3 linked regions of the Oryzias latipes genome follow. The protein of the gene in region 2 interacts with the protein of the main gene of each other region in a biochemical or structural test. Links are inferred from orthologs where the notes say so. Each region holds a gene or a part of one and is shown on either strand. Other genes may lie near its edges.

Evidence for each region.
Region 1: the proteins of c-fos (region 2) and runx2 form a complex in vitro, tested with the Homo sapiens proteins (2 studies listed by BioGRID). The link is inferred for Oryzias latipes from reciprocal best matches to the Homo sapiens genes FOS and RUNX2.
Region 3: the proteins of c-fos (region 2) and atf2 form a complex in vitro, tested with the Homo sapiens proteins (3 studies listed by BioGRID and IntAct, with this or other methods). The link is inferred for Oryzias latipes from reciprocal best matches to the Homo sapiens genes FOS and ATF2.

Annotation. Positions count from the first base shown.
Region 1 is NC_019882.2:3,176,137-3,179,137, forward strand, and holds part of runx2 (runt-related transcription factor 2), read left to right. Parts: intron 1-212; coding exon 213-374; intron 375-3,001. UniProt on the Homo sapiens protein: Transcription factor involved in osteoblastic differentiation and skeletal morphogenesis. Essential for the maturation of osteoblasts and both intramembranous and endochondral ossification.
Region 2 is NC_019882.2:17,151,980-17,156,166, forward strand, and holds c-fos (c-fos protein), read right to left. Parts: upstream 2,935-4,187; 5' UTR 2,790-2,934; coding exon 2,655-2,789; intron 2,297-2,654; coding exon 2,075-2,296; intron 1,980-2,074; coding exon 1,872-1,979; intron 1,759-1,871; coding exon 1,493-1,758; coding exon of another isoform or gene 1,457-1,492; coding exon 1,093-1,456; 3' UTR 609-1,092; downstream 1-608. UniProt on the Homo sapiens protein: Nuclear phosphoprotein which forms a tight but non-covalently linked complex with the JUN/AP-1 transcription factor. In the heterodimer, FOS and JUN/AP-1 basic regions each seems to interact with symmetrical DNA half sites.
Region 3 is NC_019879.2:22,381,690-22,385,872, forward strand, and holds the start of atf2 (cyclic AMP-dependent transcription factor ATF-2), read right to left. Parts: upstream 2,875-4,183; 5' UTR 2,799-2,874; intron 2,174-2,798; 5' UTR 2,146-2,173; coding exon 2,098-2,145; intron 1,251-2,097; coding exon 1,154-1,250; intron 1,054-1,153; coding exon 935-1,053; intron 832-934; coding exon 706-831; intron 382-705; coding exon 203-381; intron 1-202. Other genes in the region: atp5mc3 (ATP synthase F(0) complex subunit C3, mitochondrial), read right to left, coding at 3,769-3,883, 3,974-4,164. UniProt on the Homo sapiens protein: Transcriptional activator which regulates the transcription of various genes, including those involved in anti-apoptosis, cell growth, and DNA damage response.

The sequences.
Region 1 (3,001 bases), about 14 Mb from region 2:
ATCTTTGTATCTCAGCAACTCAGACGATGCTGAATAAGGCAAACAGGTAGATCTGTTTACAGTCAAACCCTCCATTTGTCCCTACAGATGTTTTAGTGATGATTTAGCACCAACATGTGGAGCCTCTGGATGAGTCGACCTGTGATGATTCTGTCTTTCATTCTCTGTCCTTTTTTTTCTCTTTCTTCTCTCCCTCCATTTCTCCCCACTAGACCCTCGTCAGTCCCAGTCCTCTCCTCCCTGGTCATACGAACAGACGTATCCGTCCTACCTGAGTCCCATGGCGTCCCCCTCAGTCCATTCCACCACCCCCCTCTCCTCCAGCAGGGGCACGGGCCTGCCAGCCATCAGTGACGTGCCCAGACGATTGCCAGGTAGAAATCCTCCAACTCGTTAGGGGAAAAACGAGTTGTCACGGGGACAAACAAAAGCAGAAACGTTTACAAGAGGGGGAAAAAAAAGTTTACCAGCAAGCTAATTTAAGCTGTGAGTCACGAGTCGTTTCTGCAAAGAAGTTCAAATGACGTTTCAGCGAATAAACTAGATGTTTCCTTTTTTTCTAGAACTCCTTTGATCCCAAAGCAGCACGAGTAATAACAGGCCCACAAATAATAAGAGGCTTGAAACTTTAAAAGGTCCTGCAGTGATAGACAACTTTCTCAAGGCATTGTAGCTTGCAATATGTGCAGCATCTGTGTTGCAATTTGTTCCTCCTGAAATCTCCTGTAAAAGCTCAAGACAAGTTTCTCCTTCGTACACCTGTTTGACTCTCTGCCATGTGCGATTTTTTTTCCATCACTCTTTTTTTTTTTCCTGTTCTCCTCTCCTCTGTTTGTGTATGTTTATATACGTCTGCATGCTTGGAGCGATTCGGCGTTGCAGCCATGAATCAGACAGAGTTTCAGATCCAGCCAGCTGCTCCGCCAGCCTTTGATTTGTTTGGTCTTCCCCTTCGGCTTTCATCTCTGCGAGTGTGGAGCTTTGCTCTCGAGGCGCTGCACATGTGAGAGCGTGCACAGGCCCCGCTGCACACCTCGCACCTCCAGAGGGAAGTGCCGCTCAAATTCCTGGAGATCGTACAGAAACACTGCGATAAAGAGGCTTCGGCTTGTGCCGGTTTATCAGGTCGAGTCATAACATTTCATCGAGAAGGGATGTTTGTAAGACCCACCTCCAAACATTGGTCTTGCCCGTCATCACAGGCCGCCTTCCAGAATGAACAGTGGCTCCAACATTGTAAAGGAAGAGACAAGAGTTTACTGAACAATGTCGGTCAAGGGACAATTACTATTATTATTAGAATTTAATTGATCTGCTGGAAACTTTAACAACCCACTCCGATCTCCTTTTGGTCTATTTTCAAATCAGAATGCTTTATTGTCATTCTACATAATGATACAACTAAATCATAGCATCCTTGGAGTGGTAAATACTATAAATCTAATCAAAAAATATACAAGACCCAATAAAAATACAGGCATGAAAAAATAGAATAAAGAAAGTGTCCCCAGTTTTTTTTTTATCTATGCCATTTTTAAGTTAAAATAAAAAAACCTGTGTTATTTTCTAGATCATACTGTATTTTCTTTGGACTATAGGCCCCACCGGAGTATAAGTCGCATCAGCCAAAAAAATGCACAATAAATCATTATATAATTGATATATAAATCACACTTTTGAAAGAAAACTATTTAACAAAATACAGGAACATTTCATCTTGCAAAGCAAATCATAATAAAGGAACATCTGCACGCTTCACTACCACAGTAAAGCTTCACGAAAGGAGGAATCTAGTAAATTAGCTCAACATATGGACAATTATCAAGATAACCACATTATAAAGAACAAGCTAACAAGTCAACTAAACTCTTTATATCACTTCAAATCCATTGAAATTTTCATCCTCTGTGCCACTGGAACAACTCTGTAAGACTCAGCGTGGCATCTTCTTCTGCGTCGGTCTCAGTAGCAAATACTTTAACACCTGCAGTGAGTGCCCTCTAGTGGTTGTTGCTATTTATTTATTTTTAATTCTCATACAAGTTGCACCCAAAAAAACATGGTAGTTTCTGCAGAGCGTCAGTAGTTTATTAGAAACTTGCATCTAAATTGTGAGCTGGACCGTTGATGCACAGCAACCCCGCCCCCACTTCCCGACACCCATCTGTTTTTTACATTCTCTCCTGCTAGCTTAAAACCCTTCCGCCCACTAGGAACATTTCAGCTGTACAGTTTCCACCAGATGCCAGCTCGGACGAGGCAAACAAAGACGTACACGGATCTGATCGTCTACAAGTGGATGCATCAGAATGGAGCGGAGCAGGGAGCTTCTTTCTAGCGTATTTTCTACGTAACAAATACGATCTTTTTCAAACCAATTTTTTTCTTAAATACAATTACTCAGACATGCAACTTTAAGCTTGATTATTTTTATATATGTTCTCCGTCATCAGAAAAGTGCCACAAGACCATGTGAAAACCACCTAAACACACTTTTTATCAGAGTGGGTTCATAAAGGCTTTTAATTGGCAGCATGTGCTATCTCGCCAAAAGACTCTGCAATGCCGCCATGCGCATAAACTCGCCTCCTCTTCCCTCGTCTTCCCCGCCACCCCCTGTCCTCTCACAGCAGACATGGTGACACAGAAGACGCCTGGTGATTTATGATAAGAGCGCCATGGCTGGACTAAACCACCATGAGGCGACGGGTGGGAGGGGGGCAAAAAAAAAAAAATAGTCCTTAAACTCTTCTCCCAGCAAAGAGCTCACCGCAGCCAGTTAGTGGTTTTTCCTTTTTTTTGGGGTGGGGGGTGGTATTCTTTAAGGGATGAAGCAAAATGAGGGACGAAACAGCTAAATGGAGCAGCTCCCTTTTTATTATTATTTTTTTTATTTTTTTTTTGTGAAATCCTGGAGCCGACGGGAGGCGAGGAGAGGAGCCACATCAGAGCTCAGCCCTGCCTCATTATGGATCTTATGGAAACTGTTTCTGCTCAAAGT
Region 2 (4,187 bases):
CTTTCATTCTGATATAAACTGAAGTGCATGAACCCTGCAGATCAAACAAAACGAAATAAAATAAAAATATTGTATTCAGAATGATTTGCTTTTGGTACCAGCGAAACAAGCCCTGCTCAGGCACGGTCAATCAAAATAAACGTAATCTTGTATCCGCTCTGTTGTCTCGTCTTTTTCGGTCAGAACGGCTAATGACTAATTTACCAAACCAGCGTAGTTATTGTTCCTTTCCGTTGGATATACCGACAGTTTCGGTGGCTCTCTTTGCAGAGAAACCCCTGAGATGTGCGAATATAAGCGGAAGTGAGAAAAAAAAAAAAAAAAAAAAGAGCCGTCAGCCCGCAGCACAGCCACCGACTCCACTGGAATTCTATATTTGGGCACGGAAGTGCAACGTGATTGCGCAGGGCGTTCAGGACAAAAAGAAAATGCAAGAGAACGCACTGACGTCAAAGCCCTGACGTACAGTTAGCCTTGGCAACAGAAGAAAAATAGCTTGAAGCTACTGACGCTTACGAAAGCGGAAGACACTCAAATTAAACCTGTGTATAATATCTCAACATTATTCTCGATAGGTATATGATTAAAGTGACAATCAGGCAAATAACTGCGTTAATATATATTTTTTATTTGCACAACATTCGTCTGTAAAAATAAATAAATACAAATTTCATAAATTACAATGTTTTCACAGAAAACTTCACAGTCTGATGGACTTGCAGACCATGGCACCACAGCAGTTTAATGAAAAAAATAAAATAAAAAAAATCTACTTTGACATTTAAATAACAAAAAACAAACCAGAATTATACAGCTATTGCTCTGAAAACACATTTATTGACAACAAGTATTGTTATCTAGCACCATAAATATAATAGTAACTTAGAACAACTAGGTGTTTGTTTTTTAAATATATATAAATCATGCTTAATAACTTGCTACATTGGTGTTAATAGGCAAGTAGAGATAAAGGCAGGTAACATATGATTTGCCATCTGGTGCATTCCTGTTCCAAAGCTCATGCCTCTGCACAGTTTGATAATATTTCAAGACTTGATGGGAGGAAATACTTTTTTTTTTCATTGAAAGTCCTTAAAGAGTTAGCAGGGTGGGTGAGTTTAGAGAGTCTGAGGGATGGTCATTGCTGTTGCTTCCCCTCCTGTGTGCAACGCCACAGGTGGGGAAGGTCTCAGCTTCTGGGAAGTTGAACACCAGAGAGAACGTGTTGGTTGTGCAGGCTGGAGTACAGGTCACCACTGGTGTGCACAGGGGCTCAAAGTCAATGTTGGTTGAAGAGGCATGAAGAGGCTCCCATTCCTGGTTACTGTAGAGGGAGCTGGAAAGGTCAACCTCTGGCACAGACTGTGCCGTCTTTATGTCCGCTTTTTCCAGCAGGTCCAAAGACTCCTCCAGAATGGAAGCCTCGAGGTCTGTCATCTTGACAGTGCTGTCGGAGGTGGTGGTGGTCGTGGTGGTCGAGGTGGTGGTGGAGAGGACGGAGCTGGAGAAAATAGAGTTGGAAGTTGGAGGGATGGTTTGCTGGCTGGAGGTAAATGTGGGCATGGAAGACTCTGTGGTGGAGAGGTATGGGTGGGTGGAGGAGATTGAGGTCAGGGGAACCTCGGTCTGCAGCTCTGATGGGATTTTGCAGATGGGCTGGTGGGCAGCCAGGATGAACTCCAGCCGTTCCTTCTCCTTCAGCAGGTTAGCAATATCATTCTGCAGACTGGACTTCTCATCCTCAAGCTGGTCAGTTTCCTATCAGATGGGAAAGAAAGAAAGTGTCACTTAGTGGGATGTTGGATTGGTTATTAAGCTCTGGGAAAGAACACATTTTCAATAAGTGAGGGTAAATCTGAAGGGATACTTACAGCTTGAAGGGTGTCTGTGAGCTCTCGCCTCCTGTTACGGCATTTAGCTGCTGCCTGCTTATTTCTCTCTCTGCGGATTCGTCTCTTCTCTTCCTCCTCAGGGCTTATCTGCAAGAACAAAACAACAAGTTGAGACTCCAGCTCTAAAAACACATTTCAGCTGTTGCATCACTTGAGATTTAGAAAAAAAAAAGATAATTCACCTTTTCTACTTTGCCACGTTTGGAAGAGCAAGCCTTGGATGAAGACCTCAGGGATGATCTGGGGTAAGCAGGACTGGGGCTGGAGCTGTAAGGGTGAGCTCTGTGGGAGGGGGCCATTGAGGAGACCACAGGCTGGACCATCCACTGCAGGTCTGGACTTGTTGAAATGGCTGTGACCGTGGGGATGAAGGAGGCACTTGATGCTGTCAGGTCAGTGAAATCCTGAGAGAAAGAGGGAGGGGAGTCGGGAAGTTAGTGATGCTTTCAGGAGGGTTTTAAAACACTGGGCTTTAAAAATATCTCAATGATGTCAGCTCTGACGTTATGTATCCTCGGTGGAGTGAAAACTGCCTTGCTCTGTGTGCAGCAGGACAAACATGCTCCTTAATTAATTTTTTATGACTCTTTATAAAAAAAAAAAGTAGCTTGTTTTCAGGTTTTATTTATTAATTCTAAAATGTTCAAATTAATTTGAAAAAGTTTTGAATTAACCTGGCCCACTGACTTTCACTCAATTTAATTATAAATTAAAGTTCAAAAAGACTGTGAAGCCATCTAAGCAATCGTCGTTTCAATTTACCTGAGACTGAGGAGATCCCATGCTGGAGTAAGAGCCCGCAGGTGACGGGTAGTATTCCAGGTTGTCTCCGGACGGAGACGCGGTGCTGCAGCGGGAGGAAGAGTCGCAATCTGTGCTGAAGGCGGTGAACATCATACTTCCCGGAGAAAACAAGAAGGAAGATTCCAGTAAAACTCCTCTCAAAAGTGGGTAAATTCCTTTTTGTGGCTTTGAGAAAGTTCCTTGAGCGCTTCTTCTGAAATGGAGCAGGACTTTCTACTTTGCTAATCGAAGTTGATCTAGTTGCTCCAGCCGCTCAGATCGGTTTTATATCCTCCTGGTGGTGTGACGCAGCGCGGGGGAGGAGCCTAAAACCGTGAGAGTGAAAGCGCCAAACAATCACATAGCAACGCCGCTGTGGCGGGAATTATGGCTTTTGTTTCGTCAATATACAGTCATAGTTAGCGAAAACACAAGTTATTTGTAATAAAACAGCAAAAAGAAACCCGTTGGAGCTCGTTTAATGTTCAATTTGACAAGAAATGGAATATTCCATAAACAGGATCGGGATCCCCGAATCCTACGTCATTTACCATATATGGTGCATCCTGTAAAGGGGCGGACCTTGATGGGAAACACACCATCCGACATTGGCCGAGCGGCGACACGACCTTACGTAAGACAACAAACAGCGAGGCTGCTGAAAAAAAAACTGCAAAAGAAACGGGATAACGATACGAAAAGTTTGTTCTGCCCAAACAAGAACAGTAAACAAAAACTAAACATCCAGATTTTGGGGGATTAAATGTCACACGAAGTTACAGTTAAGGGAAATGATCGTTCTCTTCTGGTTTCATTTTTTTTCTCCTCTTTATCCAGTTTTGTATCTTACTTTTTTATTTGGACACATATTTAAAATGTGGAAATCTTTTTCCACGCGGTGATTTTTCTATTTGGATAAACATAATTAAGAACAGTTCAAAGTGGGACAGAAGTTCACACCCTGACCCTGATGCAATGCTTGTTCCCATAAAAGGGCGTGTTCAGCTCGCAATTGCTTTGTTTGCAATAGTTGTCCTAGACAGCGGATTAGTTTAGTCTAGGTGAGGTGTGCCCAGCTCTTCACAAAGGTCTTCCCCCAAAGGAAAGAGGGAATCCTCCACCTTTCACTTGATTTAAATCCCACTCAGCAACTGTCACCTAAAAGGGACAACAAGAGGCAGCTTTGAAGCTGGGCCAATAATCCTGACTCAGTGCTCTTAAGGAAGTTTGATAATAAGACAACCTTTTGCTTATTTATTTTGTTTTACATTTGCTTGCTGATTTGTATATGGAAATATCTATAAAATAGGTTGTTCACCTTTCGGTTCATCCCGTTATGAGTCTCCACAGCACTCAGCACAGGTGGTTTGGAAGAGAGTTTTTACGCCAGATGCCGTTCCTGACACAGGCCTGTCTTTTCAAGGCACAGGGAGACCCAGGCAGCTCATTGCACGCCCTGGGTATTGAACCCAGGTAACATGTATACAGAATTATGCTTGTTATATTTTTTTT
Region 3 (4,183 bases), on a different chromosome or scaffold from region 2:
ATGTCGCTAAAATTGGAAGAATTCACAGTTGATTTGGCGTTTACAACAAAATGAAAGACTTACACCAGAGTGCAGATTGATTAAAAAAATAAACATAAAATACAAGCACATGCCTCACAAAATGCACAAAACTACACAAAAATGATTAAAAAAAACTAAAAACTAAGATTTGTTTTAAAAATGGACGCATTCCGTTACTTACACTATGGGTCTATTAGTGGATGGAACCTGGGTAATAACAGAGCTAGATGTTGGCGATGGGAGAGCTGGCTGTATTACAACATTAGCGTCCGTGGTTGCTAGAAGTACATTGGGAACTTGGAGGGATGCAGGATGGACTATAGTGGATGTTGGCAGTGAGGCAGGCTGCAAAGTTAAGTCCTGAAAACATCATACAAGACCTTAGCTGCAGAAATGTTTAGTGAACACCAGCTTAGTTAGTTACAAGAACTTTTTGCAAATATTTTTTTGGTTGGTTTTAGGATTTCCAAATCAAAATTAAGAGCAGTGTTTGAATAAAAAAAAAAAAGAGAGTGGGGTTTGAAAATAAAAAACAAATAAATCGAAGAATTCAAGCAGGTGAAAGAAGAAGTACAATTTCTATAGTAAATGAATGATTACAGAAACAGGAGGATTCTTAATTATTCATGTTTAATAGCACTCCTAAAACCCATTAGAGAGCTAACTAAACAGAAAAAAATCTACCTTGTCATCGTTTGTGGTGGACTCAGGATGAGGAAGGGGGCTGTTCCGATGTGCATCTACAGCTGCGGGTTCCTCAGTTTTGTTGCGTATGACTGGTGTAGCAAGAGGTGACAAATCCAGAGGTAGCTTTGGGAAGGTTAAAAGAAAAAGAAAAAAAGCAGATATAAACTCTGGACTTCAGAGATCATCCTAAGAGAAGATTTGACAGAAGTTACAGAACAAACTCAACCTTCTTCAAGTCATCTTCAGCTGCTTTTTTGAAGTCATGGTCAAAAGGACTGGCAAGTTCGTTGAAAAGCCCGACTTCCTCGCAGTTTTTCAAAAAGCGAGTGGGTGTCGGCGTTTGATCTGTAATAGAGAAAAGAAAAGATAAAAGAAGAAAAAAATCACACTTAAGGAGGCAAAAACACACAAACATCTATAGACATAAAACTTAAGAAGGACTCACCAGCAATTATGATATTGTCGGTCCTCGCTGGGCCAAACTTTAGTGTCATCTCGTGTTTGTGTCTGTGGACAGCCAAGTGGTCTTCATTTGTAAATCTCTGAGCAAGGTAAAAAGGAAATAAATGAATAAAAAAACAACTTTATTCTGCATATCCTTTGAGAGACAACAATGACTCACAATGTTAAATATGTTAAAATACTAACAATTTCAAAAAGTAAACGGTGCATTGCTAAAATCCAAAGAAATCAAACCCTAAATAAACATAAACATAGGCTTAATGTGTGTTTTTATGTTTATTGTGACTGTGCGCGTACATTTACCACAATAATTACATATTTTTACCCTTTAGCCAACTTTACTTTGGCACTAGAAATTAAACAGTTGATGTGACTTCAAAAAAGAGATGCTTTTTATTATTTGACCCTTTTGTGAATCCTCAAATTGGATGCAGACTCAGGCTTTTATTAACTCCAGTGATTCTGTTTTTAAGTGGATTTATCTGTACCACAAATAATCACAAATCCTTCAAACAGTAACTTCAGCTTTTAAAATGTCTGATAAGAATGCACAAACTACGTTTTTTAGTTGAATTATTCGATATTATCAGCAAAGATAGCAAATGTATGTAAAATGTACACATTGAGTACCCAAATATTTGGTTACCATATTTGATGCATATATATATATATATATATATATATATATATATATATTAAAGTTAGTCTCTGGAGAAATACAACTACCGTATCTCAAAACATGTAATATTATAATACCTTCAACGTTTTTAAATAATCTAGAATGTAAAGATGTAAGCTCAACAACTCCACCATATAAATTTACAACACATTGGAATTGGTTTTTTTCCTTCTATTTTTCAAAAAATAAAAATAACTGAATCACTAACTAAAAAGAAATAAAAACTATGAAGAACTATGTCAGCTTACCTGTCCACATCCTGGAGCAGTACACTGGAAGGGTTTGTCATCACTCATATTAAGAAATTCTTGCTATATTTTTGTCCTACAATAAATGAATAAAAACAACATATTTCATCTCAATTAACTTAATTTCCATTTAAAACAGAAATAAATTCAACAGCCACAGAAAAGACAACCACGTAATCGTGGCTGATCAAAAGGAGGGTTAGAGGGTTAATTTTTAGATAATAGTAGAAATGACTCGAGACTCGAGTGGGACTGTTAAGGGCAAATCTAGTGAAAGGACAAATAAGATTTTGGACAAAGCCAGTGAGGAGGTGGGGTTGCTCTGTCTGTGCTTATTTATTAGCTCGGTGATGCAGTGCAGGGTCGTTCGGTGTGTGGTCGTTCGGATTGTGTATTTTTCAACACGAACAAAGAAATTATGCATGTTTTTTGTTGGAAAAAAAAGTTTCACGTTTAATTCCGACTAAAGTCATCACACAACAAAAGCTACATTATGATCCGATCCTCCGCTCCAGCCTGAGCTGAGATAACGCACAGCCGTCGCCATGTTAGAACCAACAAATCACTAAACAGATAACCTTTTGGTATTTAATTTGAGGGGGATTAATTTCACTTGGAAGAAAATAACACCGATTTCAGATAAAGGGTGCCCTTTTTTGCATTTGTAATAAAACTCGCTTTCAATTTGAGTTGTTACTTACCCCTTTAGCCACAAACGTTGTTTTCCCAAACCCCAAAGTATCGCGAGAAAACAATTTCTTCTTCCGTAAACGTCACACTAACCCAAACGCCGTAAACATACTAATGGACACTAATAAACCCATTTACCCATAAATTTACCCATTTACCCATAAATTCAATATTTTATAAATAATTGCCATCATTTCTACTGCATTACAACTTTATTTACAGTCTACGGAACCACCTCAAGTTAACATTCCTTTTTTACTCAAAGGCCAAATTTCTTTAAAACAATTCAATTTAGAGAAACATTATCGTGTACTCTATATTAAATTAAATCACAAGGAACTATTTTTGATTGAAGCAGTAAACAAACCACATGGGTAATTTATATTACAAAAAAAAAAAAACATTTGGTCAACTTTGTTGCCAAATATTACTAATTTACTGACTTCCAAATGACAATTACTTTTTAACTGAGAATTTTGTTCTGATGGACCGTTTTAGTGGCAACTCATTCATTTGACAAACCTCGAAACCCTGTTGGGGTCGGGAAATAAATTCAAAAACCCAAATTATAATTCAATCTAGATTTATTCAACGTGATTTACAAAAGCAAGTAATCACTTGTTGCCTCTTACAGTTCTACTTAACTGCAACTGAGTTAAGTGCTTATGACGGTGGACCCCATATAACTCTCAGAAAGCAAGTTGATTCACAAGGGGAGAAGATGTTCTGACATTTGTGAGAGCAAACTGCTTTCAGTTACCATGATATTCCAGACATAGACGTTGCTGCCACTGATAAATACTCAAATGCATGTATTAAATTCACGCACATTGTTATGTTTGTACATGTTTTGTTTAATTTTGACTGTGTCGGAAAGACTTGAAAAATTTACATTTCCATGACACCAACACTGAACAATTTTAGAAGCCACAATAAAATATGTAGTCACATCTGTAATGAAAGTGTTGGGAGGGCAGTGCTTTACATTGCAAACAGGATCAGAAAAGCAACCATCAAACAGAATAGTCCCATAGCTTCAGACAGGGCGAAACCCAGGATGGCATATGAGAACAGCTGCTGCTTCAAAGATGGGTTCCTGCAAACAAAAAGAAGTCAATAAATGTAAAGAAAACATTTGAATTGTACCCCAAAAAAACATGTACACAGTGACCAAATGGCAACAAACCTGGCATAGCCAATAATGAGACTACCGAACACTGTTCCAATTCCAGCACCAGATCCAGCGACTCCGACTGTAGCGGCTCCAGCACCAATGAACTTGGCGGCGGTGTCAATGTCCCTGCTGATGGCACTGGTCTGGAAGCCTCTCAGTGTGACCTGTGTGAGGGGGCTTTGTGGCATCACAGCAACAGAGCTCTGCAGCGAAAGACAAAAA